Canis lupus familiaris: one gene and its partners. The protein of the gene in region 4 purifies or fractionates together with the protein of the main gene of each other region. This does not show direct contact. Links are inferred from orthologs where the notes say so. Each region holds a gene or a part of one and is shown on either strand. Other genes may lie near its edges.

Region 1 (4,146 bases), on a different chromosome or scaffold from region 4:
TCATCCCCTGAACCAAAGCCAGACGCTCCACCACGGAGCCACCCAGATGCCCCCAGATGGGACTTTCTCCTGTTCAAACACTCTCTCTGAACAGTTTACAGCGTTAGGCTGCTTTTCAGTGAGGGCCGCAGCAGAGGCCCGAGGGAGGAAGCATTAACCCATTCTTCCAAGTGCAGGCCTTTCTGTTCAGGATAAACGAGGAAGGCCCGGAAGGCCCAGCTAACAGCAATTAAGAGCACCCAGGTCAGCTCTTGGTTATCTTCCCACAGGGCCCCTCAGGCCTCTCATCTGGGGAAACGGTAGGAGAAATAGGGAAAAAAAAAATTCTCCCTATCCTTCCTGACGGGTCGTATTCCAAAGGTTAACACTTGACAAAAGCATCTTCCGGGCTTTTCCCAGTGCATTGAAGGGATCTAAGAGAAACGAAAATGATTTTCACCCCGCCTCTTTCCTTGGCTCTCCTTGTTTCCTCCCCTTGACATTCTTTTCTTCTCTGTTCTCCAAGTATCCTGGTGCCAGCTGCTGCAACAGAGTATACTATTTTTCCCTAAGCTAAAAAAGATTATCATCATAATAATTTTGAGGCATGAAGTTCAAGGCCAAAGTAATAAATATTATTTTTTAAGAAATATGCTTGCAGAAAAAAAGAATCAAATAGCCCATAGGTGTAAATAGTATAAAAGTCCTCCATTCTCACGCATTCCCCTCAATCTCAGTCCCTAGAGGTGACAACCGCTTAACAGTTTGCATGCATATTTCCAGACATTTATGATTTATTCATTCGACAGATACAGAATGATTGCCTACTATCTTCTGGGCACTGTGTCAGGTCCTCAGCAGCAGAAAACAAACACCAATCTACGTATGTAAGTACATGGACATGTGTATGTGGCATATATATTGGCAAAAATGAGATCACGTTTCTCAATAAATAATATCCCAGAGCCACTTTTCCGAGTTAGAATGTAGAAACACATGCATACGTACTTATGATTTTTCACAGCTGCATAATATGCCGTTGTAAGAATATATATGTATATATGTAACATTAATATTTATATATATATATACACACACACAGCCTGTTATGTTATTTTAAAAACCAGCCGTGTTTCCTCTGCTCACAGAATGAAGAGCAGCCCATTGCACGGGACCTACCCGAGCAGAAGCCGGCAGTCTGGAAGGGGGTGCTGTAGGGTCTGTCCCCTGCAGGAGGGTGGAGAGCCGGCCAGCTGCCCGGGCTGACCCTTGGGCCTCTCCCACGGGCAGGCAGGGCCAGCCCCAGAAGCACGCAGTCCCTGCCCAGGCACCTGGCTGGAGGGCCCGGCCACATCCTTGTGACTCCGGAGCCCTGGCGGCCACAGCTCCCATCACACTTGGCTGCCCCGGTCATCCCGTCTCCAGCATCCCCTTTGACCTTCACTTCTGCAAGTTGAACAAGGAGCAGGAAAGAGAAGAAATAAAGGTGAGTGAGGTCGTGAACAACACAGCCAGAGGAGGACAGTGCGCATATACGTGCAGGTGTGTTTTCTTAAAAGGTGTCACCTTTTCAGGCCTGTCGACGGCAGGGCGCGTGTGCCCGCGTGTGTGCAGGCTGGGAGAGGGGGGGCGAGCCCAGCCAGAGGTCGGTGGTGAGCAGCCCTGGCCTCGCAGGGCACCGGGTTACCTGCCCCCAGCCTCCACCTCCGTAACCTCCAAGTTCACCCCACCCCATCCTCCCAGGCCCCCTCCTGGCTGGGGCGAGGGCCCCGACGTGCGGGCCGTGTAGACATTCCTCCACGGTTACTTAGCTGGGTGGTGGGAGCACAAATGCACCCTAATTGGCCAGTCCGGGGCCTTTTCTAGGGAATGAAGGAGGTTTCTGTTTCAAGAAATAAGTGACTTCTCGGCTGTTGATTCACTGCCCGCAGGGAGATTTTTCAGCGGAGGCTTCCGAGCCTCTCTAGAAATTTGCATACAACTTCCCCTTCCTGCCGCGGAGCCTGCTCGGCCGCGTACCTGGCCGGGAGGGAGCGGGAGGCGGGAGCCGCCCAGGTGGAGCCCGGGAAGGAGGGAGCCGACCACCGCGGCCCTCGTCGTCCGTCTGTCCCCGGGGGCGCCAAGGTAAGCCGTCAGAGCTGTCGCCGGCCTCGCCTTGCTTCCTGGCCGCTGACCCTCTCCCCACACCCTGTGTCCTCCTTTGCTCCCCCCACCTGCCCCTCCCCACCTTGAACTTGCCCGCCCTGGGCCGACGGTCCAGGCCGGAGGAGACCGTGCTGGTGGCTGAGGTTTCGGGCCGGCAGGGGCCGAGAGGGACTCTCGGAGGAGGGGTCGGTGCCCCCCGCTGTGCTGGCTGGGAGCCACCTGGGAGCTACCTGGGAGCCACCCGGGAGCCGGCCGGGGCAGGCCTCAGTGTCCCCGCGAGCCCCGGGGAGGATCCAGCCCCACGTCCCCAGGAGGGAGCCCGGCCCGGCAAAACTTAAGTCGTTGGCCTCCAGCCCCGGGACACGTCAGTGGCAAAGATGGAAGGAAAACGCACAGTTTTCTGGAACCTCGTTTCCTGCAGGGAAGAGTTGGACCCCGCTTCCCGGGCGGGGAGGCTCAGGCCAGCTCCCTGCCGGCTGCCCGCCCCCACCCCCCCCAAGCAGCCCCGACGTTTACTGGCAAGGAAAACCCGGGGGAGAAATGCTTGTTCTTGATCTCAGCAGCTAATCAAGCTTTGGGTGACTTCCAAGTCCAAAACGATCTCTTAGAATAGGGGGATTTTTAAAAAAGATTTTATTTATTTATTCATCAGAGACACAGAGACGCAGAGACACAGGCAGAGGGAGAAGCAGGCTCCCTGTGGGGACCCCAAGGGGGGGGACTTGATCCGGAGCCCCCCAAGGCAGACGCTCAACCACTGAGCCACCCAGGCATCCCTAGAATAGGGGAAATCTTTTTAAGGGATGAGGGGAAAAATACTAATTTTCCTATTAAACAAATATCTCAAAAAGAGGACAGGGAACTTGGTTTCAAGTCCTCACTCCACTCCTTGCTGGCTCTGTGACTTAGTTCACTTTGGTTTCCCTAGGCCTGGATTTCGTCAACAATAAAATGTGTGTGAGGGTGGACCAACATGATTTTGTCTGAATTCCCTCTAACAAAAATAAAGCAGGAGTCGTGGGAGTCACAGAGGGGGAGCCGTAATGGGTGGTCTTGGAAGACTTGTTTTGTTTACTGACTATTCAAATATATTAATTTTACCGCCTGCTACTACTACATGGTTAGTTCCTTGAGGAACAGGATTGTTGCTTCTTAATCCTCTTCCACCCTCCTCCACCCAGTATAGGATCAAACGCTTCATAGGTGCCCAAGCTCTTTTCTCGCAGCAACGTAAGCTGCTTTGATTTCTATTTCACTCACCTGCTCCCAAGGCACAAGGTAAAAAGCACGGTCAGGGCCAAAGACCGGGGGTGGCTGGGCGGCCACGTGGCTCTGCGTGACGGCTGCCCGGAATCCAGGCGTGTTTATTGGCTCTTGCTACAATAAAACAGGGGGTTTCTTGGATTAGTTCATGTCCCAATTGAGTTCCCCAGGAAAAACCATCCTGTGCTCTTGCCCACAGAGTCCAGGCAGGCGGGAGGACTGGCAGGCCGGCCTGTCTCCAGGAGGCTGCAATCCTCACTTAGCTGGAGCTGAAAACCACTTGTGGGCGTGGGCGAGACCAATCACTGGGGGAGGCTGGGGGAACTTTAATGGGAGGTGAAAGGAAGCCGCAAAGCCCACCCTGATACCATGTAAGGGTGATGACCGTGATCCGACACGTCAGATGACAGACACAGGCGCCTCAACCTTTTCCAAACCACTACTTTATTATTATTTCTTTGGGGCAGTTCTGTATTTGTCTATACAGACAGGCTCTGGCGACTGGGACGGGCTGACTCAGGGCATTAAGCATTGCTTAACCGGTTTGTTGGAAAGGCCCTGGTACAGTCACTGTCATGTTCTCACTGGCTTTCTCTCCCTCCCTCGCCCCCGCCCCCGGAATGAGAGGACAGAAATGTCAAGATGCTTCAACTGCGACGAGTTGCCGATTGTATTTTCAAATAAGTATTTTCAAATAACGCAGCCCCATTATCGGAACCGAGGCTCGCTGCTGCGGGGCCAGCCTCGCTTTCACCCAGA
Region 2 (4,171 bases), on a different chromosome or scaffold from region 4:
TTTTGCTTGTTTTTCAAACTTGCCTTACCTTGCAACTGGGGAAACAGACAGCATGTACTTTTTGTACTTGACTCTGCTAGCAGTGGTGCCCATTTATCTGGGGGAGACTCATCCATGCTGTGTATATGAATTGTTTGCTCTTTTTCACTGCTGCATACTATTCCACAATGTGACCACACCACAGTTTATCTCTTTATTCTGCTGATGGACCTTTGGGTCGTTCCCAGAGTTTGCCTATTGTGAACAAAGCCACTATGAATATTAGCTATTGTGCATGTGACACACACCTAGGAGTGGTGGCTGGGTGATAGGCTTGGCATAGGTTTCACTTAAGAACTGCCATTTTCTGAATCTTTTATTTATTTATTTTTTAAGATTCTATTCATTTATTTGACAGAGAGAGAGCACAAGCAGGGGGAGCAGCAGAGTGAGAGAGAGAAGCAAGCTCTCTGATGAGGAGGGAGCCAGATGCGGGTTTGACCCTAGGACCCTGAGATCATGACCCCAGCCAAAGGCAGACCCTCAACTGACTGAGCCACCCAGACACCCCTGAATCTTTTAATATTTCTTAAAACCAGGAAAAATAAACCTCTACCTGGTGATTGTCTGAGTATTTAGTGGCTTCTAAGGTATAAGACTTTAAGCCTGTACCTGGAACACAGTGGGAGGCTCAGTAATTGCTGGCCTCAGCCCCAAACAGAGGAAGGGCCAGGCAGCTGGCAGGCGCTGTGGGGAGGTACCTGGTCCAGACCCTTGGGCAGAGAAGCCTTTCCCACACAGCACTCAAGACCCACAGCCAGCAGTCTGGGCAGCCCGAACTTGGCGCCCCTGCCCTGCTCTCACCTACCCAGCCTCCTCGCACTGTGATCCTGCTTCCTCAGGCCCAGCATTGGTGTCGCTTCCTGTGCACTTTGCGTATCACTCGATATTTATTGGGCACTAACTTTATGCCAGGCCCTGGGTGCCCCGGTACAAATGCCATAAAGACCCTCCCCCCTCAAATTACTCAGGAGGAGTGATTGCTTGGCGTAGGAAGCATGGGGACCCAGCCGAGCACTGACTCCGAGGTCGGTCAGCCACTTGAGTTCTAGCCAGATTCTGTATTTCCCCTGGAAGTTTGTTCTGGACAAACAAAATAATCTGATCCTCTGCGCCCCAGCAGGAGCCTAGGTCTGCCCGGAGCGCCTGTCCCGCGGGTCCAGGCCCTCGAACCACTGCCAAGCGCCCACCCCCGCGGCCCAGTGGCTCAGGCTGGCCGCCACGCCCCGCCCCCGCCGCCTGGCCAATGGCCTCGCGGTCCCGCCCCTCTCTGCCGCGCCCCCTCCTGCAGGGGAGGGTTCCGGGGTGTCTGCGGAGGTCCGCGGGTAGCCGGGTAGTGGCTACCGAGGTAAGTTAGCCGTCCCGGGCGCGGTCGGTCCCCTGGGCTCTGGGCGCGCCGATGGCTTTCGGAGCGGTGGTCAGCGGAGGCAAGAGCGGAGCGGGACGCGGAGCCCACCGGGGCGCACGGGGGTCCGGGGACGGGACTGGCTGCGCGGGGCTGGGTTAGAGCCGGTCCCGAGGCGCCGCGCTTCGCGGCAGCGCCGGGCGGGGCGGGGGGGCGTGGGTCGTGTGCTCGGGCGGGAGGGGAGGTTGGGGGAGCAGACAGGCGCTGGCTGCTGAGTGCCTCCAGCGCCCCGCAGGCCGGGGGTGACCCTGGGGCGAGGCCTAACCTCCCGGAGCTGCGGCCGCGCCTAGAGGCCGCCGTCCTCCCCCGGGCCTTGACAGTTCTCGGTGGTGACATCTGACCAGAACAGCCTCCCTCCCTCCCTCCGCGGGCCTGGTTCCTTCCAGGAATTGGAGCCAAATCAGTGAGGCCTCGCCTCTCTCCTCCGGGTGGTTATTTCTTTCCGGGACGCACTCAGCGCGTCCGGGGCATTCAAGGTAGGAACTTCTCGCAGCGTCAGTCCGCCCTTCTCTGAGACCGGAAGGAGCTGCTAGGAAAACATTGGGGGAAAAAAAAACACAACCAAAAAACGACGTTCTGTGCACGCTGTGGAGCCTTAAAAACTTCTGGAAGGACAGTCAGCGATCTGAGAACTGCGACTGCCGAACAGGGCAGGTTAGCATGCAGTCAGCCTTGTCTGAATGATTTACATACTATTCCTACAAGAGAAGGGACTACGTCTTTCAGCCTCCCTGGCACACCCCCATCTGAGGACTCCCCTCACCCAGGCAGTGGCCTTGGTCCCTCTGGGGCTGTGAGTCTCACTTGTTGCAGCAGCCCCTATGTTCTGTAAGGTGTATGGTGAACTGCAATGAGACAGCAAGTCCTGGGTTCAAATCCTGTTAGGGCCACTGGTCTGTTTGTACAACCCAGCATCATTTCTCCTCTCCTAAAGGAAAGAAAATTAGAATGTGCCTGCCTATAGTAGATCATGAATAAATATGAACAAATATGGGCTTCCTTCCTTTTTGGTTGGAGCATGTTCTACTTCCATACCCCCCAAACTCTTGTCCTTAGGGCTGCGGCTCAGATGCAGAAGAATGTATCACCTGACTCTATCCTTGTCCCTCCCCACATGCCATGGAAAGAAAGGAGAAAAGCGTCATTTAGCCACCTTAGAGTTCTTTGCTCATCTCCTGAACGCTCAGAGGACCCCTGCCCCATCTTCTTGAACCTCTTGACTTCTGTCATTGACACTTGCCACACCAATAATGTAGCACCTGGTGGCTGACAGAGCAAGGCATGCCACATGAGGCTATGAGGCCAGCAGACAGGACTACTGCCCCATTTCCCATATGGGTGACAGACTGGTGGCCCCAGCTCTGCTCTGCAACATTATCTTCTAGAGTCCCACCCAAGCCACACACCCACATTTTTGCTCCAGTCTGGCTCCTCTTCTGACCCCTTTCTTCCCAGAAAACCCACTTGGACATGTCATAGTGTCTCAGACTTGAGACACTATGATCACCTGATCAAAATGGAGCTTTGGAATCCTCTCTGCACCACAGCTTCTCCACCAGGTTCTCTGGCCTGCCTAAATGGCACCATCCATCTACCTAGTGCCTGAGGAGTTATCCTTGATTCTTCTCTCTCCCTCACTTCCCACATCCAGGACCCACTAGGAATCCAGCCACCTCTCACCATCTCCATGGGCAGCATTCTGGCCATACCCATCCTGTGGCCCCCTGCTTCAGCCTCCCAATTGTCTCCCTGCTTCCATCCTGGCCTCTGTACAATCCAGGTCCTCACAACTACCAGAGAGGTCTTTAACATAAGTCAGATCCTCTCCCTTCTCTGCTCAGAACCCCCAGTGGCTTCCCATTTCACTCCAAGAAACCCCCCAAAGCAAAAATAACAACCCCCAGAGTCCTTTCCTGCAACACTGCACATGAGCCACCACTTTTCAGAACCTCCTTGACCTTGATCCCTTCCCCTCCCCTTAGCTTTCTAAACCTGGACCACCCAGACCTGCTTTCTGTTCTTCAAACATGCCAAGGTCATTTCCACCTTAGGACTTTTAAATTGCTGTGCCCTCCGCCCAAAATGCTGATCTTGCAGCTCAGAATGGCTCAGCTCAAATGTCACCAATTCAGAAAGACTTACCTGACCACCTCTGTTCATGCAGCACGTCCTTCTCCAGGGATTCTGTCTCAAAACCCTGGTTTATTTTCTTCATAACTTGGTTACTATTTGGAATTCTTATTTATGTACGTGTTTACTGATTTGTTATCTGTCCCACCCCAATAGAATATAAATTGGATGATGGCAGAGATCTTGTCCCTCTTATTCCCTGCAGCTCTCCCTGAGGGGGAGGCAGGTAAGGAACTCACAGACAACCCCATCTATAATTGCAAATTGTGGTAAGTCCTACCTAAGCAAGTAGTAGCAATTGCTAGTAATTGAGGCACTTGTAAATGTCAGGCTTATGCAGTTGAGCTACTGTATTGTCAAAACAAGCCCTCTGAGTCATTTTAGGGGTAAAGAGAAGACTGTAGAAAGCCGGTAATTTGCCCTAGATCATACGGTGAGTGGAACTAGCCTCCTATCCTAAGAACATGTATGTGGCAAGCTTTAATGGTGGGCTTGCGGTCATGTTCTGGAAAGGACCTGACCTCTGATCTTTGCTCTTCTGCTAACTAGCAAGCCCCTTAATTTCTTGGTACCTCATTTTCTTGACCTTTAAAGTAG
Region 3 (3,697 bases), on a different chromosome or scaffold from region 4:
GAAATATGGACGTCCAAATTAAACGAACCTGGGCTTCAAAAAAAAAAAAAAAAAGGGATCAACTGTGGATACTGACATTATTCTAAAAATTCAAAAAAGAATAAACTTGATGACTAAACTGCTCCCTTCTGCCTCTTTCCCCAAAGTTAATAAATGTAATAATAAACATAAAAATTACTCTTCTAGTAGAACCAGTTAGATCCTAAGGCTAATTCTACGATAACAAATGTCAATCAACAGATCTTTTAATGGAACTAGAATCTCACACAGTTAAATGCAGTTTAAAACAAGTGGGCCTATGCTTACAAGCATGCTCATTCAAGGGAAGTTTGTAGTGAATCTTATTTATAACAAACTGAATACTATTCATCACTTTTATAAATTAAACCTCTATGTAGGAGAATATGACAAAGAGGAAAAATCCCAAGCAGTACTACTTCACCTAAGCTGTGTGTGATCCCAAAAGTCATTTAGCCAGGGCCTCTGGTGCGTGGTTTTACAGGAAGCAACACTCAAAACTGTCAGCAGTTACGTTCCATATTCCTAAGGTTCCATAAAAAGGCTCAAAAGAATGAAGTATTTTTTAAAAACTACACTTTTGCTCGGATAATTAAAACATCTTCTTAACTGGACCAATCAAACTAGGATTAAGGAAATCAACCTGCTGGGAGCACCATCTCAATTCAAAAATACTTGAGACTATGCCTGGTGGTGCTCTCCCCCAATACAATTAACTGAGAGCCCTCCAGAGCAGTTTACCTGCACGTTAACAGATTTCAGCAGGTTAGATTTTAACAAACATACAAGATAGCAGACTAGGCGTCAAACCACATTTAAAGTTACAGGACTAAAAATATTTCAAAACATTTAAAATGAATTTTTTCTTATTTTAAATGAATACTGAGAAAATTTCCCAGAAATCGGAGGTTTTTTTCTTTTGTGAAATAATTTTTAGGAACAAAAGTAGAACACCTTCATAACTTTGACTTTAGAAGGCAAATTTTTAAAAGCATCCCACTAATGCATTTCTCATATTGAGGTTAAAATATTGGCCCAGGTTGTTGCAGTTTTTCTTCTCCTGTCAAGGGCTGACCTTGGTGTTCTACAACTGAGTAATAAAATCCATTAACTCAATCCAAAATAGACAATAATAAGAAAAAAGCCCGAATGCTTTCTTACATCTAAGAAATACAGAAAAGAAACAGTGCGAAAGGAGTCTAAATCAAGGATTACATAGCAAATGTACACGAAGGTGTTAACACAGGACAAGTACATTCAGTCACCTGCTGGAGCAAAATTACTGGATCAAAAGCACTCTGTCAACAGAGAAGGACTGATGGTAATAGACATGGACTGTTCACCTAACATAAAGGTAGGAACTGCACCCAACCCCACCCCACCCCGACCCACACTATACTTAGACATCCTTTTCCTTCTAGACAGATAGCATTTAAGATACAGACATTCTTGAGAAATTCCTATGAACACACCGACTGCTGCTTTGGGTAACAATCTAGCACAAATTATCAGCCCAGACAGCCTCAGATCTGCGCCCATCTTCACTTCCGACCTGTATCTTTTGAACTATACCTGCAATCTTTATGGCTACAGGATCCTCTGAAACTGGAACAAGCCCTTCTTTGACTTCAATCTGCTTTTCAGAGACCAGGGGAGATGTGGCAGGAGGGGAATACTTAGTTTCCACAGAAGCCACAGGTGAAGAGGAAGAGGGCTTAGAATCATGAAAAAGGCTGGCCCATGACTTAGGCTGGCTGGTGGGAGCAGTGCCCGCCACAGAGGCCGGGGTGTCGGCAGCAGGGGAAGTGCTCTCGGCCTTAGCTGGGTCCGAGTCCGTGCTCTCCACAGTGTGCAACTCGACTCCGTTGGCAGCTGAGCCCTCACCGGAGGATTCAAGTATTTGTCCGTTAGCAACTCCAAGGTTTTCAGTAGTATGAGTTCCCATGTAAGGCTGAGCCACAGCTGTCCTCAACAGGCTGTCCCTGCCAGCCTCCGTAGAGAGGCAGGACTGTTCCAAGTCAGCCCCGTGGCAGCCCTCAGGCTGCCCTGCAGTCCTGGTATCACCATCGAGGGCTCCAGGGAAAGGCCCACCAGGCACAGCGTCACTGACGAAGTCCGTGGAATCCTGAGGGCTGCTACAAGTCCTGGGCGTCCCCGATGGGGGCACCTCACCCACTAACTCTGCATCCTCTGAGCCTACGATGTTTGGGACTGCCGAATTGGCGTGGCCATTGACCAGGGCTTCCGTGGGAATACTACCCTCACCACCATCTTTCAAGTAACTGTAATATCCTGGGGGACGTTTTTTCTTCTTTTTACGCTCCCTTTGTCCAAGACCACCCGAAACACCATCACTTTCTAAAACTTCAACCTCCGCGCTAGAACTGCCATCCAGGGCAAGGGCAGAGCCTGGGTACTGGCAGTCAACTGAGCTGTAGGTAGCTTCTTTATCTAGGTCATCAGGGGGTTTTTTGGAAGTTGTGCAACTGAGAATAAATTCAGGGGCCTGAGGATTCAATGTGCTTGAAATACTGTAGTTGGGAGTTCTCGGCAAAGTGTCATTGGGTTCAATTACTTCATTAACACCAAATTCAATTCTCTGATATTCTTGTCCTGTTTAGAAAAAAAAATGATCAGTCAATATGCCATTAGTTACAAACACAGCTACACAAACTATAAAAGTCTCAATAATTATTTTCTTTCTGAAACTAAATCCTTAAAGTCTTCTAATTAACACAGCTAGGACAGTTCATTTCTGTGGCAAATAATTTGCCAAAAATAAACAGTAACTATAAAACCATATTTAATTTTAGAGCTAGAAAACCAGAAGACTGTATTCATTTTTCGCTCTTAGAGTGGCTAAGGGAGACTTTCAAGAGGTCAAAACGTAAATGAAATAATAAAAAGCACGTCATATTCTGCCTAAAAACACCCCTCAATGAAATCTGATTTTACTGGCTTATTTTCTGACTGAAACTAGGGTATATGTATTTTGGACAATTTAAAAAGAAAATCATTACTAATACCTTAGGCATTTAAAGTTATTACTCTATTTATGGCTTCTCTAACTAGTGATTGAGTCATGCAGAAAGTATGCACTACACCAAGAATTCCCCTCTCTATAAAGGTGTTCTTCAGAGGCACTCTCTGGAACCCTCCATCTCCTGATCTTCTCCACTGACAACCCTCCCTAAAGTCTGAAGAGGGCCTGACGTAAGTGCATGTCAATGTACATTAATGAGTTCACAGTGGGTCAATTCCATGGGTAGTGAAAATACTTTCAAAAATACCAAGACAATTAGGACTGCAACCTCTGAAAATTCTCTTTGGAATACTTCGGTACTGGCTACTGCCAACTGGCTATTGGGAGTACAGACAATCTACACATTCCACCCGTTACAAAATGTACATTTTTTTCCTGGTTCACATTTCTAAAATTTGATTAAGTTATAGAATCAGCTGCATCTTTCAAGAGACGTCAAGCATCAGTGTCATCTGATATCTGATGAAACAGTTAAAATTCTGAAGCAAAGGACACATGCCTTTTCATTATCTGTAATGCATAACTGAAGATCTCCCTGAGTCTAGCACAAGAGGCTGACTTCTTTTAATGGCAAATACTTAAGAGAAAAAAAAAATTCATACTACCAAAAGAACTGTGCTCTATTACAAATAACTG
Region 4 (3,697 bases):
CTTGTGCTGCTCGGCCTCTTCCTTCAGCTTGTCGATCACTTCCTGTTTGGCCACCAGGGCCTCCTCGGCCTGCTGGAGCTGCTGCTTGAGATCCTCCAGCTGCATTCCCTAGGAACGGGCAAGGGGGAACTGCAGGAGCCCAAACTGGCCCGTGGCAGGCACCAGGCTGCCACCAGGCCGGCTGCTGCTCCAGGTGAGAAGAACCAAAAGGAATCAATGAAAGATGGGCCCTGGCTGGCCAACCCTGGAGTGGTGGAGAGCACAAGACGACAGGGCGTGCACGGCACAGGAAAGGCAGAGGCTACAGGGAACCTTTGACATCATGTGGCACAACTTCCCACCCAGGCCAACACTCCCTTCCCAGAATCCCCAGCCGGACAGCCCACCTCTAACCTTTCAGCGGACAGGGCCATCCTCCCTCCTGAGGCCATCCCCTCCACGCTCAGCTGCTCTCCCGTGCTAACAGTCCACCACATGCCGCCACGAAGCTGAGACCTGTGGGTCCTGCCACCCTGCCATCCTACAAAGGTCTGCTGCTCCCTCCCAGATGCCCTCAGCCCCCCATGCACACACGCAGATGCATGCACACACAGACACAGCCACACATGCCAGCAAGCCTTCCTCCTGCAGATCGAAAGGCCACAGTTGTGTAACTAACTCTTCCTGGTGTGGTCGGTGTCAGGTGTTACCCTTACAAGCCTTAGAGATGTCCCCTGGGTACATTCGGGTTTGACAGCATCCTTCTTAAAACGCGATCACTTGACATTGCACCCAGTACAGGTCTGATGAAAACCAACCAGAAAAGGGCTCCCAGCACCACTCCCAGTAGTGTGATGAAGTGTCCCACGCCTCACCTTGGCTCTGGGATCTCTGAGCCAGGAGCCAAGCTGGTGGGAAGGACTGGCCACGGAGACAAGCATGTTCCCAGGCCACACAGAGCGCCGCCAGAGGCCCGGCCCAGGGGACCGTAGGCCACACACAGCACAGCCCTAGGATCCCAGTCTCCCACCACCCGCGCTGAGCTGTCACACTGCGACCTTGACAAAGGTCTACGACAAGTCAAACATCCCCCCCAAAATCAAATTCTGGCAAGTGTTCAAATAAGAACTTGAGCTCCCATGGCCCTAAATCAGTGGCAGCAGGTCCCGAGCTCTGCTGTTTCTAGGCGGCAGGGAGAGGAAGCGAAGCAAAGTCAGTCCTACAGTCCCCGCGACAGCCCCACCATACTCACTCGGTTTCGCTCGCTGCTCACCATGCTGCTCTTGATGTGGTTGTCATACTCCTGGAAGAGCTGGTGATAGGCCACCTGTAGCTGGGCCAGCTTCCGCCTAAGGAAGAGGAGCCTTTGCTGGAGAAACCACCTTGTCCTGACCCCGCTCCACGGTCCTCCTCCTCATGTCCACAGACCAGAAAGGGGCTTGCTTGCAGGGTGCGTTTGTGCCTTCAAGGCCAGCAGCCCTAAGACAGGCTTTACTAAATGCTTAGTATCCCTTTGTTTAAGGCTAACGTTTTTAAAAATAAGAACCGTCTATAATAAAGTGGAACAGTCCTGGGCTCTTCAAAAAAGTGAACTCTGTGAAAAACACAGAGATGTGGGAGAAGTGTTCTAGATTAATGGAGACTCCAAGGCACACCAACGGATGCAATGCAGGGACTGGGACCAGACGCTGTTGCCACGTGGGCCCAAAGGGGGCGTCCGGACGTGGACTGAAGAGCACATACCATCGCATCAGAGATGGATCGTGTAGGTGTGATGACGGTAAGGGACGGCCCGCAGACGGGCTCGCTGACAGGCAGAAAGCCCCCGATGGCCCTCTGGTCTCTGTCCCCCCGGGGGCAGGAAGCCACTCACTTCTCCTCCGAGGCAGCCTGGCGCTCCATGCGCAGGGCCGCCTCCACGCTCTGGCTCTGCATGCGCAGCTGGTCCACCTGCACGCTGTGCTGCTGCTGCAGCGCCTCCCGCTCGCTCTCCAGCTGCCGGGCCTGCTCGCTGGCAGCCCGGGCCCTGGCACGGGGGAAGGGGGAGGTCACGGGAGGGCCTCGGCAGGAGTGGGGGGCAGGGTGTCGGGGCGTTCACAGGATCCCCGCGGCACTGAGGAGGAGCTCGAAGCCCGACGGCCCTGGAAGCTCTGCGGCCTGCAGGCAGAGCGCCGTCACGGGGGCAGGAGTTGCTCAGAACATCCTGCCAACGCACAGCCGATCTGCCGTGAGAAAGGACGTGGCTCTCGGATGTCAGGGGGGCAGGGGGGACACACGGTTACCAGAGATGGGACAACCACAGAGAGCCAGCTTGGGGGCGACTCTTTCCCTCCCAGTCACTGTTCTAGAAGCGGCAAGAAGGCGGCTGACCCACCTCCATGGCTCAGCTGCAGTCCCAAATGCATCCGCCTGCAAGAGGAGCCTCCCCAGCCTGGCTGGGTGACAGCAATGGTGCCACAGCTCGTCTCTTCTCACCAGGCCCTCCATGCTCTAAGCCCTAGCACCCCCTAGCCCCCAATCTCCCATCTCCAGTCTCCTATCTTCTCACAGCTCCCCAGATCTCTAACCATGTCATCCTGCTGGCCCCAGGCCCTGCACGGTCCCCACCCCACCGCAGAGGCGACAGGGGCTGCTAGGGCGGGAGGGGGTGGGGCCTGCTGGGGATCATCGCTGGTCTCGCTGTTTCTCCACACCTGTCCAAACAGACTGAGCACGTTTCCATCTGTGAGCTGACGTGGTCATCACCAGGTGGGCCCGCTGCCTGCCCGGGGCGCGGCGCAAGGGTGAGTGCCATTCCCGCAGGACAGACCCCAGGCTCGGGGGACCTCCGTGTGTCAGAGGCGTGAAGCTCTTCAAAGGGCCACACGGAAGGACCTGAGACACCAGCAGGGCTGTGAGGCCGAGCTGTCCAGCTTACCATCTATATGGCCAGCCACAGGGGATAGGACACAGAAGGACACTGCCTGGGAGCCCACACTTGCTGACGTCTGTGCATGGTCGCTAATGGACCAAAATTGCCCCCAGCGGTTTTTTTTTTTTTAAGATTTTACTTATTTACTCGTGAGCAACACATAGAAAAGGCAGAGACACAGGCAAAGGGAGAAGCAGGCTCCCTGTGGGGAGCCCAATGTGGGACTCGATCCCAGGACCCCGGGATCACGCCCTGGGCCAAAGGGCAGACACTCGACCACTGAGCCACCCGGACGCCCCACCCCAGCGGTTTCTTTCACGTACACAGAAAACAGGCAGAAAGGACACCAAATTGTCCTAAAAACAACACATGGGATTGTAGACACCTGGAGGCCGGGGCGGGGTGGGGGGACACAGGGGCAAACAGCAACGCGACAAGCCCAAGGCGAGCAAGCACAACCTTGTGACACCTTTGCTCACACTCCGATTTCTAGATGGAAGCACGTCCACAAGGTCCCCCCAGCGTGGACGACGGCCAACACCATCCTGCCCCCTCCCCTGGGGGGAAGGCAGCCCTGCCGCCACCACGGGGGTCCACCTTTCTCTCTGGAGGGCAGCACCCGGGGCCGTGAGAGCCGAGGAAGCACTGGTGCCTCAGACCCGGGGAGCCGCTTACGGGAACCCCGCCGCGCAGAAAAGAGCAACTGGCCGGCCGCTGGCTTCAGCGGGCCACTTGCGAAGTTGGCCCTCGGGGGGCACCTGGGCGGCGGGCTGCGGGCTGCGGCGAGTCCCCTACGCCAACGTGACC
Region 5 (3,697 bases), on a different chromosome or scaffold from region 4:
CTCTCATGAATTTTGGCCTGAGAGGTGAGCCCTTTGCTAGGACTAAAGAAACTGTAAGAACGACATTCTAGAGTCTAACAGGAATTCTAAATTGTGCACAGATACATTTAAAAAGTTAGCTCTGCAAGGCTAGTTACTTTCAAACTACCCCTAGGAGTACTTCTTAGTCCACTTGAGCTTCCTTTAGGGTTCCAGCCCTGTTAGTGTGTGACTCCTGGATTCTCTTCCTGCTCACTCAACACTTTTGGGAAGGTGTAGGGGGATTTACATGATTCATATATTTAAAAAGAATAAATGGACGTGTACATACAGGCAGCCCTTCCCTTTTTCTTCTCTAAGAGCCAAGCCCTGGCTGAGAGCGGGAGATCTGTTCTGGAACTTCAGAGAGAAGGCCTCAGGCTCTCCCTGCCCAACGCCCAGGAGGCCCAAGCGAGTCCAGCACTGTCAGGGTTGGTAGACAGACCTGTCTAATCTGGGGTTCAGGGCTGGACCGTTTGCTCTCACACAAAGCAGTGTCCTCTGTGAAGCCTTTATCAGTAGCAAGGGTGATGTTCTGGATTTGTCTTGCTCCTTGCTTACTTCTCAATTTACTACAGTCATGTAGGAAAGAGGAGCACTATTTATTGGCTTCTTTAGGCCAACGGAAATAAATGAAATAAATGATGATATCTTAATTTTCAGAAAAAACAACTAAATTTCTATGCTTCCAATATACTATAATTTTACTTCTTCACACTTGATATCCTCCTCAGGGCTAAGGAAATTAAAGGCTTCTTTCCTAGGTGAACTTTAGCCATTCCTAAATTTGATAAATTTAGCATATTTGGGGGGTTAGTTTTTAAATGTAATATATATTAAATATGAAAAACAGACTAATGCTAAATACTAATAATACTAAAATACAAATAAGTATTTAGATAAATGGAATATATATGTACTCATATTTCCTTTAAATTTACCATCAACTTTAAGTTTCCATATGTTTAGTCTTTAGTAAGTGACGCTATACCGTCCTATTTTGAGTAAAAGAAGAAAGGGGGTTCTTACAAGAGGGAAATCGGTGACATAGGCGTCGCACATCACCACGTCGGGTGGCTTGTGGACTATGCTCGTGTAGATTATCATGACATTGGAGAACTCGGCGGCAAACCCTAACTGAATCTGAACGCCACACTGAAATTTAAGACACATACTTTCTGGGAGTTCTGAAAAAGAACAAAAAGAACAACTTATTTGAGAAGTGCTTGGTAAGTGTTCTGATAAGCAACAGGCAATTGTTCTTTATGGGACAAAATATAGTGAGAGCTTCTGCTTTCGCTTAAAAATGTTCTATAACACATTGTTGAAAAACACACAGACACACATGCATGCACTTAAAGAAAGAGAAAAAAAAAAAAAGCCCCATGTTCTGCTGGTCAAGCAAATAAGAATCTTTCATTGACTATTTCCTTATAGTTCTCATCCCTCTGCATATGTAACTTTCACAGTGGGAATCGAAAGTATCCATACAGTTGTAGATAAATTTTCACTGTTCCCTCAATCTTCATGAAAACAGTTAAGAAAGCATAATGTCACTGAATATTTGTTACTTTGAACAATTCCACTACTCTTGAGTATCTGTGGTATTTCTGGGTTTAATTGTTTTTCTATCATAGTCATTATTTTGAATATATATGTACTTAATGCTTTAGGATTATTAGATACAGCTACTCGAAGGTCCCTCACACATGTGACATCTCCTTTTATATAGAATATAAATAGATCTCACCATAACATTTCCAAAATGAAGTAACATTAATTTTCAAAGTGTGTACCTAGTTGATGGTATTAAAAAGGAAAAACTGTACTATCATAGTTTTAATTTTATTTTCTCTAATTACTACTTAAGTTTACCATTTTCTGTATTTGTTTCTTATTTATTTATTTATTTTTTAAAAATTTTATTTATTTATGATAGTCAGAGAGAGAGAGAGAGAGAGGCAGAGACACAGGCAGAGGGAGAAGCAGGCTCCATGCACCGGGAGCCCAACGTGGGATTCGATCCTGGGTCTCCAAGATCGTGCCCTGGGCCAAAGGCAGGCGCTAAACCGCTGTGCCACCCTGTATTTGTTTCTTAATTATTAATATATTCTCAATTGTGTAGGCTGAATTTGCATCCTTTGATGATTAACTGAGGGAGTCTTAATGTTTTTCCTTTTACCACTTTGCGTGCGCTCTTTAACATAAAAAATACCAAATCTGTTACAAAAAAAAAAAAAGCTCTTTCTAGACAAACTCTCCACGTCTCTAGAGCCTGTTCGCCTTTGGTAAGGTGACATTTACCCATATCTAAAAGATAAGAATTAAGTATTATTTTAAGACCACAATTTTTTCATTATGTTTTAAATATTTAGGCCAAGAACTATCCTGCAAATCCAGTGATGTTTTCAGTATCACTTACTCACTCAACAACTATTTTCCTGAACACCTAGTATGTGCCAGGCATAGTTCAAAGTAAAGAACAGATAAAAATATTGGACGAGCCCATGTCTAAAGTTTCTTTCTTTTTTTTTAATGCGAAGTCCTAATTGGCTTTATTAGGCAGGCAATTCATGAATTCAGCAGCATCTCACACAGCAAGTAAAGAAATGCTCTCTTTGTTTCATTTCATAAAGGTTGTATTTACTGTTGATTTTTACCACCACGATTTTGTTACTGTTGTTGTTTAGGGCTTTTTTTAAAGGAAAAGAATCAATTTCTTTCTTTTTTTTTTTTTCATTTCAATTACTTATCCAACTATCTGAAAAACCAAGACACTATATTTGTGGCATTTTATTTTAATGTGCTTTAACATATTTACCAAAAATATATCTTAGAGAACAGACTATTAGAAAAGGAAAGATATTATATAGAAGTTCAACGAATACAACTTTCAATTATCTACAGTAAGGGATACATAATACAGATATTTGGGACTCACAACAAATCTAAAATCTTCATTTCGGTCAATAATTTAAACTTACTTTTTCACTAAGTCACATAGAATTACCCAGGGTAATGAAGTTACGGGTATGATTTCCACCTCACCTTCTATTGTCTTGCTCACTGACTCATGGATTCAAGAGTCAAAGACAGAGAATACTCAGTAATATTTATGAGCACGTAGTATTTGCTGACGAGCGTGCTTCTCTATTTACGTGTGTGATCTCATTCAAGCCCAGCAACCTTACCAGGTATTATTTTTTGTCCCCATTTATAGGTAACGTGCTTATCCAGTGGTAGAGACAGGATCAGAACCCAAACCTGTCTGATTTTTCAAATAGCACACTTCCAACAGCTCACAAAAGAATAGGATCTAAGGGACTGTATATTACATAAGTTGTTTAGTCTTGGGTTTGCCCACCAGGCTAAAATATTTTCACTACAAAATCAAGAGGAAAACTATTTATTCAGGAGAGAAAAAATCTCCTTCATCATTTAATGCAGCATAGTATAGAAAAATCTCACAAAAAGCCAGACGTCACCATACCATGTGCCTTGGCCCATTGTAGATTCCGAACCAGAGATTCTGCGGAATAGGCTGTTCCCTGAATCGGGTCAGTAAGTGCTCTCTTTTCAGATAAGCTACTCCGGATCTCTAGAGCCTGTTTGCCTTTGGTAAGGTGACATTTCCCCATATCTGAAAGATAAGAAATAAGTATTAAGACCACAATCTTTC
Region 6 (3,697 bases), on a different chromosome or scaffold from region 4:
CTAATGGGCTTGAGCCCTCTTTGTATGTTGTAGTCCCTGTCCCCCATCTATTGAGCAGCGAGGCGCAGTACAAAGCACTTCTACTCACACTACCATCTTCTAACAAGCCCAAGGCGGGTGTCCTCTCTATGCTCTAGATGGGGACACCAAGGCTCTGAGAGGTTGAGAGGTCCTTGCCCTTGACCACAGCACTACCCTGTGGGGTCCCGTGCCCCTACAGCCAGTGGGGGGCTCTTACCATGCTGCAGCGCCAGGCTGACTTTTCCCCCCAGCTCCACTGCAGATGCACGGCGGCCAGGCTCTTTCCTCAGCCCCTCCTGGATGGCCTGGGCGGTGAGAGGGGCGCAGGAGGGTGGGATCTCCCTCACAGGTGGAGGCTCGCTGGCGATCTGTGGGTCAGAAGGCAACATGTGTGGCCTGTCCCCCCTCACTTCCCAGGATGCAGCTTTCTGTTCTTGCTCTTCCCCACTCTCCCCTACCCTGGGGTTGGTCAAAAAGACTTGAGAGGGCTGGGACTTTTCCAAGGAAAAGGAGAAAAGGGGCCAGGTGGGCCAGGCCAGTGCCAGATGGCAAGGTGCCCATGACCAGCCCATAGGGAGGCAGCAGAGATGGCACAGTGTATGAGTGGAGGAGAGCCCCGACCTGCCATGAACTCAAGGGGATCCCTCACTTAGGATCTCTCCTTGGGCCTGCAGATTTGGGTGGCAAGCATTTTAGTTAGGATCCCGCATTTATGATGAGGCCTCTTCCTGTTGCCATCTGCCACCCAAGAGCAGACCAAATGGGGGCCACCTTAAGCGTGCAGCCTGGGCCCTGTGGCCCTGCTGGCTCTCCCTCTTCACCATCCCAGGTGCCGTCACTGACCTTGAGGCAGAGTGGCCCTCTAAAGTACTGGGTCCAAGGGTGGCAGCCGTTGAGCATGTGAAGCATCATGCAACAGCTGCTCCAGACATCCACCTTAGCATCACAGGGCTTGCCCATCACCACCTCTGGGGCCATGTGGGTCTCCGTGCCAGGGATGTAGTCTCCTGAGAAGGTGGGGTGAGACCGGAAAGCCAACTATGAACTTTGATGGGTAAGAGCCTTGGCAATGACCCCCTCTCTCCCTGGCCATTGAGTCAATTCAGTGAAAATACCTGGAAAAACCTAGAATTTATCTCTGTTAAAGTATCTCAGACAGAAAGGAAGCTTCCATATCAAACCTGCTGGGGATGAGCTAAGTCAGGGGCTCCACTGGGAACTGGTACAAAGAACACATCACCCAAAATAGGGGCTCGGCCCTTTGGACCAAATCTTTAGAATGCCTTTTTTTTTTTTTAAGATTTTATTTATTTATTCATGAGACACACACACACACACACACAGAGAGAGAGAGAGAGAGAGAGAGAGAGAGAGAGAGAGGCAGAGACACAGGCAGAGAGAGAGGCAGGCTCCATGCACAGAGCCTAATGCAGGACTCCAGGATCACACCTTGGGCCAAAGGCAGGTGCTCAACCCCTGAGCCACCCAGGAGTCCCTTTAGAATGCTTTTTAAAATTGGGGAGGGGGAGATCCCTGGGTGGCGCAGCGGTTTAGCGCCTGCCTTTGGCCCAGGGCGCGATCCTGGAAACCCGGGATCGAATCCCATGTCGGGCTCCCGGTGCATGGAGCCTGCTTCTCCCTCTGCCTATGTCTCTGCCTCTCTTTCTCTCTCTCACTGTGTGCCTATCATAAATTAAAAATAAAATAAAATAAAATTGGGGAGGGGCCTGGACATTGAAAATCAGGTTGCAGGAGCCTAATTAATGGTTTGATGTTCCTGAAATTTCAGTGCATGGGAAAAAAAACCCAAAAGACTTCTAGTCTTAAGACTAGAAGGATCAATACCAGATGTGAAATTTTCCCCCCGCTTCTGGTGATTTGAATTTTTTATTTTTGCTTAGTTCTACTTTCTACAAAAGATTTTAGGGGCAGCCCAGGTGGCTCAGTGGTTTAGCACCACCTTCGGCCCAGGGTATGATCCTGGGGGCCCAGGATCGAGTCCCACATCAGGCTCCCTGCATAGAGTCTGCTTCTCCCTCTGCCTGTGTCTGTGCTCTCTCTCAATCTGTGTCTCTCATGAATAAATAAATAAATAAATATTAAAAAAAAAAAAAAAAGATTTTAGAAAAGGACTATTTTTGTAATAAGAAAAAAACTCACTATTTTAAAGTGAAGGGCAGATGTCCATTAGAATTTACGTCTTTAGAATGATCAACACAGTCCTTTTATAACAGAATCACTTCTAAAAGATTGTTTTTCTTTCGGTCAAGAAGAAATAATTTTATGCTTAATGCTCTAAATGAAAAAAGCAAAGTATAGGGGTGCCTGGGTGGCTCAGTCAGTTAAGCATCTTGTCTTCAGCTTAGGTCCTGGGATCAAGCCCAGCACTGGGCTCCCTGCTCAGCCAGGAGCCTGCTTCTCCCTCTCCCTCTTCTGGTCCCCCTGCTTGTGCTCTCTCACTCTCTCTCTGTCAAATAAATAAATAAAATCTTAAAAAAAAAGTGCAGGGCACAAAATTGGGTTATATCAGCCTTAACTTTGTACAGGTAAAAAAAAAAAAAAAAAAAAAAAGACAGACAACCTGGAAGGAATTATGTAAAATGTTCATGATCATCTCTCCAGGTAAGAGGAGCAGAGTGGGTTCTATTCACCTCTTCTAGACCACGTGACTCTGTAGTTGCCCAATATTTTACAATGGATGTGGATTATTTTATTTTATTTTTATTTTTGATTATTTTAATAATCTAAGAACAAACATTTCTCCAGCTACAGAGCCTCGACCCCCCATTAGCCCTCCTGTTGTGCTTCCAGAAACCATGCTCAGAGGCCCAAGAGGGCCACAGCCACAGGCTGGGAGCATAGCCATCCAGAAAAGGCTATAGAAGATAGCTGGAGCTCTGAAGGTGCCTGGGCAGGACACCTGGGGCAGGGCAGTCAGCCTTTCTGTTCCCTTCTCTGTGGAACAGGAATATCTGAAAATATCAGCATCTGATGCTCATTCCTGTGTTGAAACCTAACAAAAGCTTTCTGAGAACCTAGAGTTGTGGAGGGCTGAAACAGAATGGTAGACAAGGAACACTTGCATCTCTATTACTCTCTGACTGCCATTCCAAGCGCACAGGAGACCTGGGGTGACTGAGCAAAGGCCCCTGCTAGTCATCCTGGAAGGGCAGTGGAGGCAGGGCTTACCCGTGACCACGGACTTCCCCAGCCCGTTGGGTTGAAGGCACACGGCATGGCCGAAGTCACAGAGGGCCGCGCGGCTCCCATCGCTGGACAGGAGCACGTTGTCAGCTGCAGGCCACCCCAGAGAAGAGGAGGAACAGGTGAGTCAGTGTAGGCCCCAGCCCACTCTGGACCTCCAGGGAGGCAGTTTCTGGCCAACCCTACATGGCAGTTGCTGCTTCTAATTAGTTTCATTAGTCATGAGGAAGGGAAGGGGGTGATCAGCTCAGGCTAGAGGCAGGCAGCAGGCAGATCTCTGAGGTACAGGGACAGAGTTTACTCCTGGGGCTGCTGCCACTCAGCTCTACTGTCCCCCTGCCTTCTCCCAGTGGTCATGGGCCTATAGGAGCTGGATCTGCCACTGGCAGCTATGGTGTCAGGCTGAGGGCTTGGTCAGCACACTTCCCCGTCCCACCAGCATAGCCCTGTAGGCCGGACTCAGGCCCTGCCC
Region 7 (4,434 bases), on a different chromosome or scaffold from region 4:
AACCACAGCAGTTAAGAGTTACCATATTCCCTCATTCCTATAAACCAAAAAAATTTTAGAGCAGGTTTAGGCCCCCTCCAACAGCAGCCCCGTAAAATCCCAAACCCTTTTCCGTTTTCCTGAATGCTAAAAACAAAAACCATAAACAAAAGTGCCCAAAGCACTCACATCAGAAGCATTACTGATCAACTCTCGAAGAAAAATTTCCTTGTTAGAATAGAAGGTATTGATGATGAGGGACATGAGCTGGGCAATTTCTGCCTGGAAGGCAAAAGTCTCCACCTCCTCCTCTCCATGGTGCACTTCCTCAGGCATCTAAAATAAGAACAGTCAAGAATTACAAAAGAACACCGTGGCCCCATAGGTAACACTCCGTTTCACCCTACTCACAACGAAGACTCAGCTTTTAGTTGAAATTGCTTTGGGCTGGATAGTAGACATATTCCTGAAAAACTAGAAAACTTTTCCCTCAATGATTTCAGCCTATACCCTTAGTGGAAATCCAATTCAGGAAGAATTTTTAAAAGCTTCTCTAACACAACACACGACGTCAAAAGCGTTTTGGAAAAACACCTTGGAGCCTAAGTACTCTAAGTGGTCCATGGGACCCAACAGACTCCGCATCACCGAGTACCTCGTTGAAAATGCAGATCGGATCCAGGAACACGAAAAGGACTCCAGATAATTTTCAAGAGAAAAGCACTGAATACGGCTCTATTTCTTTTGGTAGGACAAACGGTAGCCCGAGGCGACCAATTTCGGGTTAAAAGGAATTCGCAATTGGCTCTCCCGCTGGGGGTCTCCCACATCAAGCACCCTGGAGCGCAGGGGCCGACTACCCCCGGGGCCGGTGGATACCCGCCCAAGCGGCTGAGACAAAGAACCGCTAAGGCAGAAGCTCCATCGCGACCCCAGCACACGTGACTACAGCGTGGGACCAAACCAAACATAACCAAGATGGTGGCCGTCGTCCGCTGGGCAGACCCTCGTCACTGCCGGACGTGCGTCGGCCAGGGCCACGCGAGGAGGGGGCGCCACCGCGCAGCCTCCCTTCGCCCCAGCATCCGGGCACCAGGGCGGGGCGCCGGGTTCCAGAAGCTTCCAGAACAATCTCAGCTCTTCGGAGAGGCGGGGGAGGAAAGGGCCCATGAATCTTCCCGAGCTTGCCCCCTCCACTCCCCTCCCCCACACCGACACTGCAGGAAAGATCTGGAAGGAGAGGAAGCACTATGGGCCAGAGACCGCCGTCAAACGTTGCTCGCCGAAGGTCACAGAAAAAAAAAAAAACGAAAACCCTTGCAAAACGCGTCCCAGGGGACAGATGGCACAGGCGGCACGGGCAGGCCAGCCCCGGGCCGTGCTGAGTCACGTCCAGCGCGCACACCCACAACGCGCGGGGACCCTCCGGCGCCCCGTAGCCGCGTCCGGAAGTGGAGGGGCAAACATGGCAGCGTCCCGGCCGGCGCGGACACCACGTGCAGCTGCCCACCACCCCCAGCCCGCGCCGCGGCCCACCTCCCCCAGCGCCAGGCGCCGCCCGCGGGGACGCCCGCCACCAGGCACGGGTGAGAAAGCAAGTCTAGCTCGCGGTCCCCCTCCCGGCCACCCCCGAAAGCAGTTAGGAGTCGTCCCATCCCACAGGCCGCTCCCACTCCACGAAACCCAGGCTTTAGAAAGGAAACGAGGAACGAGAGCAACTCAAGAGAGCACTCCAGGCAGGAAAACCTGGAAATAGCTACGACTTTACCTTAAAGGGGAAGAGCTGCAAGCACTACAGACCACGGCGGGCAGGGGCTGCGTCCGGCTACGACGCCGAACCAAGGCTGCGCGGGGGTGACTCAAGAGAGCGGCTGTGCGCCCCCGGCCGCTCTATATACGGCGGAGCACAGACCAGCTGCCGGCCCCCGGATCCCTCCGCCTTAAAGGAGGGTGCAGCTCAGCCCCGCACCTGCCGCTGCCCGCCCACCTTGACGTCATGGCCCAAAATGGGGCGGGCGGGGGGGGGGGGGCCGCCGGTCTCGGTCTCCGCCTTCAGAGTACGCAAGTACATCTCTGCTTTTGCAAGGCATGAGCTCCCTCCGAGAACTAAAGACTGGGAACGTCTTATTTCATATGAAATAAGTGGGGGATCTAGGGGTGCGGGTGCCACTGGCCTTCCTATAAACCATGAGGCAGGCGCCTCCCCACTCGAGTCCTGGCCTGGAGGAACACCTATAAAGGTGGAGGGCGGGGATAGAAGCGGCCAACCGCTCCGACCTCGGCTCCCGGGTTCGACTCTTGCTACAATCTGCCCTCCAGACCCCCACAACCCGAGAAGGGGAAGCAGTTTTCCTTAGGGACGGTGCGGAATCCGGGGTCTAACCTCAGGGAGGCCTTGCGCCCCGGCCCTCCCAGGGGCAGTGGGCGAAAGCCGCGGCTGTGCGGCGGGGTGTGGCTCCGGCTGGGGGAAGGGCCCTGGCCGGCACCGGCAGGGGGACTCTTTGCCCGCGTCCGGCGGAAGGAGCGGCAATGGTGGTACTGCGATTACTTCCAGCAGTTTCCAGACCCGCCTTGGCGGCCCCGCCCCCGCCCCGCCCCCTCCGTGCAGGCGCCGCCCCGCCCTCTGCGGCCTGGGCCGGGTGTCCGCAGCCGCCGCGGTCCCCGGGGAGGAGGCGGGCTGTTCCCCTATTAACCTGGGAGCCCGCGGGGGGGACCCTCATCTCCCACCTGCCGGTTCGGCGAGCCCAGCGCTCCCTCGGGAGTGGGATGGAGCATAAAGGGAAAGATTGACCCCCCCACCCCCGCCATCGATCCCACGGCCTGGGGCTGTTGGGGCGGTGGTGCTGGCGCCGCCTTCGGGGCGCAGAGACCCGGGGACGCATTCGCCATCGCGGGGGGCGGGGAGGAGGACCCTCCCCTACTTGTGCATCCGCCCAAGTGAGTGGGACCCGGAGACCTGCGTCTTCCCTGCGTGAGCACACGGAGCTGTTTCCCCATCTGGTTTCAGTTTGGGCCCTCTTCGCTCCTGCGGCCGGCAGACGGGAGGAGGAGCGGGCCCCCTTGCAGGCTGCCAGAAGTCGTTCCCCTCCAGCTGCGGCGCGGGCGCTCCCGAGCCGTTAGTCGGCCGGGAGAGCTGTGGGACGCCGTGGCTCAGCCCCTTTCGCGCGCCTTCCAGAGGGGAAGCCGTCCTTGTCTACCTAAGGCCTCCCCTAGGAATGCCGTCGGACCCACGGCCCCTCCGGAAGAGAATGGCCTCTTGCTGCTCTGTGACCTTGTAGGGGTCCATCCACTTCTCCCTGGCCCACAGGGTCGTTCCCTGGAATCCTGGGGAGGGGCTGCCTCCGGCACCACCGCCCGCCGTCCTTCCTCAGCCTTCTTCCTTCCTTTGTATTTCCTTATTCATATGTTAAATTCCGAAGAACAGACCTTCCAATTCCTTATCTTTTCCCCAAGCACCAGACCTCATCACCCAGCCACAGCCACCACTCCTATATTTCTCCTTACTCTTTTATTCAACCCCACACACACACCTGTTTTAAAGATTTTTATTTACTCATGAAGACACAGAGAGGCAGAGACAGGCAGAGGGAGAAGCAGCTCCATGCAGGGAGCCAGACGTGGGACTCGATCCAGGGTCCCCAGGATCATGCCCTGGGCCAAAGGCGGCGCTAAAACCACTGAGCCACCCGGGCTGCCCCCTATTCTCCTTAATGGTGTGTGAGAAATCTGTGACTTGGGGAAGTTAATGTGTTTGGGAAGAGCTGTGGGTGCTGTTGCCAGGAATCCTCCAGGATTCTCTGTTCCTGATCAAGATCTCAAACGAAGTGTGTCATCCCTCAACATACCCTCTCTCTTTCTGGGCAGAAGGGGCCTAGAAAATTAAAAACCTCCCTAGTTCACAAAGAGCATTCAAACTATTTCACAATACTGTGAAGAGGTAAAAGTGAGTCTCCCGTTCTCACTGGGAAAGCAAGGCTTCAGTGAGATCAGTCAGCTCAGAGCCTCTGTTGCACCAACCCTCGCTCCTTGCTCCAGGAATGGAGTAGCAATGCTGTCTCCCTTCCCAGGACCCAAGTCCAAAGCAGCAGAAATCACTCCTGTGGATCAGTATTAAGACCAGAGACTCCCGGGGTCTTCTAATGGGAAGATCTCAAATCACGCACTAGCACAGAAATTCTGTCTTTTCTGGAAGGCTCTCCCACTCGCTGACACTCACTTAAGCCCCCCACAGTGAGTTCCTGGGATGCAGAATTGCAGAAACAAGATGGAGGTTTCAGCCCCTAGAGGGCTGCAGCAGGCCAAGTGTGAACCATAGCAACAGGAGAAATATCAGACTCCCAGCTCAGCCTGAGGCAGGGGACAGGCTTAGGGCCAAGGCTGGCCAGTCCCTGGCACAGGTATATGTCCCAGAAGAGGGAGAAGCATGGAATGGCACAGCCCTGACAGAAGGACCAT

The links.
Region 1: the proteins of IKBKG (region 4) and TRAF3IP2 purify together in Homo sapiens (affinity purification with western blotting; 3 studies listed by BioGRID, with this or other methods). This does not show direct contact. The link is inferred for Canis lupus familiaris from reciprocal best matches to the Homo sapiens genes IKBKG and TRAF3IP2.
Region 2: the proteins of IKBKG (region 4) and MAVS purify together in Homo sapiens (affinity purification with western blotting; 4 studies listed by BioGRID and IntAct, with this or other methods). This does not show direct contact. The link is inferred for Canis lupus familiaris from reciprocal best matches to the Homo sapiens genes IKBKG and MAVS.
Region 3: the proteins of IKBKG (region 4) and USP10 purify together in Homo sapiens (affinity purification with western blotting; 3 studies listed by BioGRID and IntAct, with this or other methods). This does not show direct contact. The link is inferred for Canis lupus familiaris from reciprocal best matches to the Homo sapiens genes IKBKG and USP10.
Region 5: the proteins of IKBKG (region 4) and MALT1 purify together in Homo sapiens (affinity purification with western blotting; 4 studies listed by BioGRID and IntAct, with this or other methods). This does not show direct contact. The link is inferred for Canis lupus familiaris from reciprocal best matches to the Homo sapiens genes IKBKG and MALT1.
Region 6: the proteins of IKBKG (region 4) and MAP3K14 purify together in Homo sapiens (affinity purification with mass spectrometry; 6 studies listed by BioGRID and IntAct, counting the BioPlex papers as one, with this or other methods). This does not show direct contact. The link is inferred for Canis lupus familiaris from reciprocal best matches to the Homo sapiens genes IKBKG and MAP3K14.
Region 7: the proteins of IKBKG (region 4) and HSP90AB1 purify together in Homo sapiens (co-immunoprecipitation; 4 studies listed by BioGRID and IntAct, with this or other methods). This does not show direct contact. The link is inferred for Canis lupus familiaris from reciprocal best matches to the Homo sapiens genes IKBKG and HSP90AB1.

What each region holds. Positions count from the first base shown.
Region 1 is NC_049233.1:68,474,499-68,478,644, reverse strand, and holds the start of TRAF3IP2 (E3 ubiquitin ligase TRAF3IP2), read left to right. Parts: upstream 1-1,331; 5' UTR 1,332-1,465; intron 1,466-1,808; exon of another isoform or gene 1,809-1,910; 5' UTR 1,911-2,103; intron 2,104-4,146. UniProt on the Homo sapiens protein: E3 ubiquitin ligase that catalyzes 'Lys-63'-linked polyubiquitination of target protein, enhancing protein-protein interaction and cell signaling. Transfers ubiquitin from E2 ubiquitin-conjugating enzyme UBE2V1-UBE2N to substrate protein.
Region 2 is NC_049245.1:17,973,594-17,977,764, reverse strand, and holds the start of MAVS (mitochondrial antiviral-signaling protein), read left to right. Parts: upstream 1-1,368; 5' UTR 1,369-1,387; intron 1,388-4,171.
Region 3 is NC_049226.1:68,258,138-68,261,834, forward strand, and holds part of USP10 (ubiquitin carboxyl-terminal hydrolase 10), read right to left. Parts: intron 2,632-3,697; coding exon 1,591-2,631; intron 1-1,590. UniProt on the Homo sapiens protein: Hydrolase that can remove conjugated ubiquitin from target proteins such as p53/TP53, RPS2/us5, RPS3/us3, RPS10/eS10, BECN1, SNX3 and CFTR.
Region 4 is NC_049260.1:123,433,105-123,436,801, reverse strand, and holds part of IKBKG (NF-kappa-B essential modulator), read right to left. Parts: intron 2,006-3,697; coding exon 1,853-2,005; intron 1,329-1,852; coding exon 1,232-1,328; intron 109-1,231; coding exon 1-108. UniProt on the Homo sapiens protein: Regulatory subunit of the IKK core complex which phosphorylates inhibitors of NF-kappa-B thus leading to the dissociation of the inhibitor/NF-kappa-B complex and ultimately the degradation of the inhibitor.
Region 5 is NC_049222.1:17,460,595-17,464,291, forward strand, and holds part of MALT1 (mucosa-associated lymphoid tissue lymphoma translocation protein 1), read right to left. Parts: intron 3,659-3,697; coding exon 3,509-3,658; intron 1,206-3,508; coding exon 1,048-1,205; intron 1-1,047. UniProt on the Homo sapiens protein: Protease that enhances BCL10-induced activation: acts via formation of CBM complexes that channel adaptive and innate immune signaling downstream of CARD domain-containing proteins (CARD9, CARD11 and CARD14) to activate NF-kappa-B and MAP kinase p38 pathways which stimulate expression of genes encoding pro-inflammatory cytokines and chemokines.
Region 6 is NC_049230.1:18,179,079-18,182,775, reverse strand, and holds part of MAP3K14 (mitogen-activated protein kinase kinase kinase 14), read right to left. Parts: intron 3,316-3,697; coding exon 3,211-3,315; intron 1,029-3,210; coding exon 865-1,028; intron 390-864; coding exon 239-389; intron 1-238.
Region 7 is NC_049233.1:12,844,978-12,849,411, reverse strand, and holds the start of HSP90AB1 (heat shock protein HSP 90-beta), read right to left. Parts: upstream 2,965-4,434; 5' UTR 2,947-2,964; exon of another isoform or gene 2,936-2,946; intron 1,907-2,935; exon of another isoform or gene 1,743-1,906; intron 961-1,742; exon of another isoform or gene 635-960; intron 316-634; coding exon 169-315; intron 1-168. UniProt on the Homo sapiens protein: Molecular chaperone that promotes the maturation, structural maintenance and proper regulation of specific target proteins involved for instance in cell cycle control and signal transduction. Undergoes a functional cycle linked to its ATPase activity.